Linked DNA regions of Coturnix japonica. The main gene of each other region encodes a partner of the protein of the gene in region 2 in a complex. Links are inferred from orthologs where the notes say so. Each region holds a gene or a part of one and is shown on either strand. Other genes may lie near its edges.

Region 1 (3,654 bases), on a different chromosome or scaffold from region 2:
GACATCCAGGCAGCATGCTCAAAAGCCAGTTCAGCACTTCCTATTTTCTTCTTGCATAAGTCTATGTGTTTCCTAAACTGAGCAATTGCATCCAGTGGAGTATTGTGTTGAAAACACAGACGACAGATCTAGAAGAAACCAAAAAACACAAACTATACTAATTTATCGTATTTCTCAAGAGTACAAATAGGATGGGAAACAGAGGAAGAAAAACAGATGTAAAATGAAACCTGAAACCATGTGGCTCTCCAATACATCTAATGTTATTTTTATTCCCTCCTCCCTCACATAATCAATGAAAGAAAATTCAGCCAATTCAGGGTGGAGCTGAATGGAGCCACTAGAAAGAACATTAACTTTGAAGCCTGTAGTCATTTCAAGAAGGATGATGAAACTTGGAGTCCATCCTCAGGATTATTTTAAATGGTATAACAGTACCACCTCACCTAAAACCCCCCAGAATGTCAACAAAGTATGAACTGATTCTTAAAGGATTGCTTTAAAGGGCTATCTTCCTCCTCCAAACAAGGAGTAACTAAACTACCACAGTTTAAGTTTATAACAAAAACACTCAAGAAACAAGAGTTACTTATTTTCATTCCCCCTGCACAGAGAGTCAAAGCAGTTTAGTCTTCAAAATGACTGCACCTAAAATTAACTGCAAATCTTCAAGACACTCCTTATCTTCTGCTAAGGATCTTTTTGTGTGGAATTCAGTCTTCACAAGCCTGAGTGTAACTGGTATCGCATTGATGGCTGTTTCTAAACTATCTCCTTAGCAAAACAAACAAGAAACCAAAACAGAACACTAAAAGGATTAAACATTAAAGATGCACTAACTAATTAAATTATATACTTATTTGAAGTACAGGCTGTCAAAGTTAAGAAGAATGCTTGTTACCTTGTAGTTTATAAATCCTGCCATGGTCTTGATTTCCAGCATGTTTGTTTCATGAGCCCTTAATTCATGTACAAGATTATATGCAGTCCTGTAATTTCTAAGTATAAATACTTAAATTAGAGTTAATTCATACAAGATAATACAATTCAAGAACATGATTACTTACAGCAGTAAACAGTCTAATTGGAGTGTCCTTCCCAATTAAGAAGGTATTACTTACTTATACATTTAACTAATTTTGTATTTGAGAAAAAAAATCTAACGCTAAGCAATAGACTGATAATTTGGGGTTGAGAGGATGTGGGAAGATAATACAAGTCTTACTTGAGAGCATTTTGTGTATCCTGCTTCAGCTCACTGAAGAATGCTATTTTGAACTGGTGTCTAACAAATAGAAGCTGCAAAACACAACCAGCACATATCATTCACAATCATCTGAACATGTCTTTTAACTATGAAGCAGATACAGTTAATAGTTTCAGAAGTTTACAGAATAGAGCCATTGACTTCAAAGGCTGACTGTGCAATTATTTCCTAGTTCTCTGTGACTCCATGACACAGTAGTAATCAGTCTTCCAACAGACTGAATCTACATTAAGCTTCTCACTCTGGAAAAGGGGAGAAGCTCAGTAACACAAGAATTTCTGCATGTTGCTTCAGAGCATGACTGTTGGACCCCGGTTTCCAAAATAGAAAGAGGGAGACTAGCAAACCTAACAGCAGTCGTGTACCTAAGTAAATATCTGACAAATTAAAAAGCAAAAGCTAAACATCAGATCAAGTATGAAGCTGGTAATGACAGAATTTCCCACAGCTTGATAAGATACTACATTCAAATTGGTTAAATCATATAGATAATTGTTTGTTCTTTTGAAATAGGAGAACTTCATTCTTGGGCTATAGTTTCTCCTTTAAAATGTGAGGTAGATAAAAACTGCAGCAGAACCAATCAAAATCAAAGTTTAGCTTGCAGAAAACAAAAGCAAATTAACTTTCTACACCAAGACAGAAGGACTCTTAAGTTGGATGGCAGCAAGGAGTGGAATAAAAATGTTTAAGCAACAAACAGCCCTTATTTTCCTCTTTCAACATGCAATTCAACTTGAACGATATTGCAAAAATGGAGTAAACATTACCTGGTGAGTGGTTTTGTTCAAGAATTCCTTATGAGATTTGACTCTTCGTATTTCTGTATAATAATAAGTCTGCGCATGCTCATAGAATGCGTTTTCCAACCTGCAACAAAGTTGCCCATAAGTTTCACTAAGTTTCTCTCACATAGAAGGGATCTGAATAACTTCTAAGTAAGTTACTTTAAAACATGCTTATGTTACGGTCGGCAAAAGTGCTTGAAATATTACTACAGTCTTCTGAAAGTTACCACACACTGTAAGTACACGCAGACAAAAACTCTTCACACAAAACCTCACGGAGATGTAGCACGAAACAAAGTAGCTTTGAGATCCTTATGTACTGATTACAACAGTCTCTAATATTTAAGGTAAGAAATTCAATTGAAAAGTTGTCAGGATTTTACAAGGCAGTAGAAAACGGAGATGAGTCAGTCAAAGCAAGCAAACCTTGCAGAGGTTCCTGAGGTAAGTCTTAATAGGTCAGAACCTTTCTTGTCTGGGCTAGATGGGGGAAAGAGGAAAGGAAGGAAGGCAAAAGGCTGTAAAGTGTAAGAAGATAATGAAAGTACACTAGGTTTCCTCATTCTATCCAAAGAACAAAAGCTACCTGGATTATAAAAGTGATGGTCAAGCTTGTGTCCACAAGATAAGAGCCTAATGACAAGTCACAGGGAAAGGAGAGACAAAAAGGCCCAGAGCACTGAATACAGTACAAAGCGAATGAGGATGTAAGAGGTATATGCTGCACAATCAGGACAAGGAGTAAAATCAACCAGAGCAAGAGAAGGTCAGAGAACAGGAGATAAATACATTCAGTAGCAGAGCAACACAGAGAGAATAAGGGATGAAGTACCAGACCTGTGATTTCGCTAAGGAGGGATGACTACAGGCTAAAGGAGATCACAACTCAAGTTCTATTTGCCACACAACAGAGGATGTGGATGGAAACAATGGAAGGGAGCACTGAACAACAACTATAAGTTCAGACAAAAACATCAATTTAAATGTCAATACAACTAGAATCAGAAACTCTGTACATGAATATGTAGTCCACTGTTTGTTTCTTTAATGTTTATAAAGAACTGTTAATCCTTAACAATGTAGCCCTGCCTTCAAAAAGCTGGAGACAGTTATGAATTGCCTTAGCTTGAGCTTGTGTTTTTAGACTCTTCCCTGCTCTGTTATTTGAAAAGCCTTGATAATTTATCTGAATACAATAAAATAAAAAGCATGATGAATGTAATAACAATGACAAAGACAGTATTTCCACCCAAAGAAATACTACTTAATACAAATAGAAATAGATAGCTTTACTGGCAGGAAGTGGAGGTGGCAAAGAGAAAAAAAAGTGCAAATGTTCGCTAATAAGAGTTACACCTAACAAAACATCTGTGGGGAAAAAACGTTTAGAATGAGCACTAACAAAGCCATGAAAGAAGTAGATTAGTCTGCTTTCCCTTTATCTGACACGAAGAAGGGAACATCTTGGGATACTTAACAATATTCCTTTGGAAGCCCACAGAGCAACATCTCCAACATCATAACTCAGCCTTACTTAGAAAGGGGAGAATCTGGGGATTCATCGGGTCAGAGAATAACAGAAAGAATTCCAGTGAACAG
Region 2 (3,654 bases):
CTTTATTTTTTAATATATGCAAAAGGAAAAAAAAAAAGCAATTCAAAAGATAAATAGCACCTAAAATTGTTTAAATATTTAAAAGCCAGTCTTACAGATTATATCACATTGATTTAATCTGTGGAGAAACATGACCTTACAGATACAAATGCAACCACACACACACACGTAATTACATCTAGATTTGTTTGAGTGTGTCTATGAATAAAAATATAAAAGAATCCTTCATTCTTTGATTATAAGCCATACTGAAATGAATACAATTTCTGAAACACAAAGTTGAAAGCACATAATTAAAAAAATATTTCGAAATAAAACATGACCTTTTTTGTACTGACAAGCACAAAATCACATTCTGAAACAGCAGAAGAGAAGCTCTCATTAATAAAACACATTTGCTACAAACACAGGAACACAGCAATACCTCCAGCAGCAGCTCTCAGAAATTCCAAACTATCGGTAGCAACACCAGCAAAAAGCAAAGGTGCCGTTTTGAAGAGCTACTCTGCCACAATTAATTTCAGATAGGTAAAGGATTGGGGTTTTATTTGACACTTCACAAGGAAGTTAGTTATATAAAGCCAGCTGAGTGACACCGTAAGCAAATACATGCTCCCCCAGAGACATTTACCTTTGCTGAAATCTTTAGGATCCAATGATAAGCTATAACCAGGGAGTGTTTCCAAAAGCAATTTGTAGCAGGCCCTCCAGCCAGGCTCTGGTATGCTGGGTGCAGCACACTGCATTGCTGCGATACGCTTGAAGAAAGCAGACTTGCGGTGAAAACCAATTCGTTCATACAGCTCTGAAAGAATGCTGTAACGCTGGATTTTTTCTTCTTCTGAGAGCTGAAATTGAAAGGGAAAAGAAAATGAAACTGTTTTTTAAAGACAATTTTCAAGCATGTATCTGAGTAACAGGAAAAAAAAAGAAAGAAAAAATGTAATAGGCATCTCCACCACAGAAGGCCATGTTTGCATGTTTGCACACAGCCAGTCATGCCAACCCCTGCCAGGAAATCTTCAGCTTGCTGCTGAAATCCTTCTGAGGAGCAGCTGAAGGAGCTGGGAATGGAGAAGAGGAGGCCCAGGGGAGACCTTATTACTCTATAACTCTATAACTACCTGAAGGGTAGTTATAGTGGATGTTAGGAAACAATACTTCTCTGAAAGAGTGGTCAGGCCGTGGAATGGGCTGCCCAGGGTGGTGGTGGAGTCACCGACCCTGGAGGTGTTCAAGGAATGTTTGGACATTGTGTTGAAGGACATGGTTTAGTGAGAACTGTTGGTGATGGGTGGATGGTTGGACTGGATGATCTTGTAGGTCTTTTCCAACCTTGGTGATTCTGTGAAGAGCTAACAAGAACTGCAAAGATGCTTTTTCTGAACAATTTAGTTAGTTATCAGTACTGTGAAGTGTAAGTCAGAACAGCTACAAATTGCTACAGACTTTCATGTTTTATGGGTGATAATTAGCATGATATACAGGTGCACTATACAAACATAAAAATACACCACTTCCAAAATCTACTGATTTATCAAATTAAATGTTATCACCACTTTGAAAGCAAACCTAAACTCTCAGTATTTATGAGTCCCACAAATCACAAAATATTCAAACTGTCAACAAATGGGGCAGAATTCAGTGAAAGGTTAATCCCCATTAGGTTTCAAGTACAACCAAACTTGGTAAGCCACTGACAATATACACTACTGTAGCTTGCCAATATATCTGCACAAGGCCCACGCAATTGCTCCTTCCCCATTATGAATGAGAATCTTGCTTAGAAATCAGGCAGCCAAGAAGAAACTTCTCTGCAATAAGACTCAAAGCTACCAACTCCTCTATCTCTATAACACCAAAGAGGTTGTGGATGCCCCATCCCTGGAGGCATTCAAGGCCAGGCTGGATGTGGCTCTGGGCAGCCTGGTCTGCTGGTTGGTGACCCTGCACAAAGCAGGGGGGTTGAAACTGGATGTTCATTGTGGTCCTTTTCAATCCAGGCCATTCTATGATTCTACGATCCCAGTGACAAGTGAAGTGAGTTCTCAAAATGGATCAATGGTGACACCTAGTGTACGATACCGAGCATGCACAAAGAAAAGCAATACCATATATTACTAAGAGTTACTCTGCAAAATAATGTTAGCAGCTTCGCGGGCATTTACGAGGACGAAGTTCATAGAAAATATCACTGGTGGACACAAACCAGAATCATTCTTCAAAATGGAAAGCATCAATCTGAATTCTGTGTTTAACGACATAGAACCATACAGGTTGGAAAAGACCACTTAAGTTCACCCAGTCCAGCCATCAATCTATCACCACCATGCTCAATAAACCATGTCCATCACTGCCACATCTACATGCTTCTTGAGAACCTCCATGGACAGTGGCTCCACCACTTCCCTGGGCAGCCGGTTCCAATAACTCCAGGCACTTTCAGGCTCTGAAAGTCAAAAGGTTATAGATATACCAATAACTTTTACAGTAATAATAATGTATTATAAAGCTGCAAAACATTTTTTAGTCACAGAAATGCTGACATCATTACAAAATCATGAGAAAACTGTATTCAAAAGTCACTACTAATTTTTGTGTCAGGGATTTGACACAAAATATGGTCAAAACAGCTTTCGGAGAGCACCATGACCTTATCTGACAGCACCAACCCTGGTAGATCAAAAGATTCAGAGACACAGACGGACTAGCAAATAATTCTGGCAAGCTACAGACAAGTTCTGAAGCTGAAGTTGCTACTACCCTACAGCACAGACTGCACAGTACAAAACCACAGCACAACCATAGGACAGAGCAATCCTGTAACAGCAGCTGTAAAAAGGCAATTGTGGCGAGCTGAAAATGCAGCTGGAAAGAAAATAAGGACATCTTCCACTAGAACAGGTATCCACAAGCCCTGTCCAATGCCCTGAGCATCTGCAGGGTTGGGGCACACACAGCTCCTCGGGGAAGCACATCACCACACTCACAGAGTAGAACTACTGATATCTAAGTGATACCTACTGGTTTGTAGCTTAAAAGCCATTATTCCTTGTCATGTCTTCACACTCCCTGATAAAAGGCCATGATAGCTTTACAGATGGATGTGAAAGCACACTAATTGGAAACAGCTGAGAGGCAACAGATTCTCTTCAAGTTTTTATTTTTACCCTGTTTGAGTAAGTTCTCTGCACTGACACTATTTGTCGCTCAGAGCTACTCACGTTTATTTTTTGCAGTTGCGGGATGCTACGCTTCATTGTCACAACAGAGGCACCAAAATGGTGTTTTCCCTCAGCACAAATAGGTCAGTGTCACCACTCAAGGGCTTAAAAGAAACAAGAAAACAATCCCACACAGATACACCAACTCATTATTTCGGGGATGCAAAATAGCCAACACCTAAAGCAGAGCAGCTTTTCCAGATGATTAATTTTCATTTACTTGTTACAACAAACCAAGTCAGCAACCACAACTGTGAAGGCTGTAGTTCACCATCCAAGTAAAATGAGAAAGCTTTTTATCAGGCTTGATTTAAGGTAAGATTTCAAGAGAGAAGCTTGTTATACGATTTTTGATTATTCCTAACTACATTAAAGTAAACTTTTATAATCTCAGTTCCTTCGTAATTGGCACTTACAATTCATTCTTCAT

The links. The genes of interacting proteins can lie anywhere in the genome.
Region 1: TRAPPC9 (region 2) and TRAPPC11 share a complex: the UniProt entries of both Homo sapiens proteins name them as parts of the multisubunit TRAPP (transport protein particle) complex. The link is inferred for Coturnix japonica from reciprocal best matches to the Homo sapiens genes TRAPPC9 and TRAPPC11.

The regions. Positions count from the first base shown.
Region 1 is NC_029519.1:35,209,245-35,212,898, forward strand, and holds part of TRAPPC11 (trafficking protein particle complex subunit 11), read right to left. Parts: intron 2,138-3,654; coding exon 2,038-2,137; intron 1,300-2,037; coding exon 1,226-1,299; intron 999-1,225; coding exon 902-998; intron 129-901; coding exon 1-128. UniProt on the Homo sapiens protein: Involved in endoplasmic reticulum to Golgi apparatus trafficking at a very early stage.
Region 2 is NC_029517.1:131,104,124-131,107,777, forward strand, and holds part of TRAPPC9 (trafficking protein particle complex subunit 9), read right to left. Parts: intron 849-3,654; coding exon 632-848; intron 1-631. UniProt on the Homo sapiens protein: Functions as an activator of NF-kappa-B through increased phosphorylation of the IKK complex. May function in neuronal cells differentiation. May play a role in vesicular transport from endoplasmic reticulum to Golgi.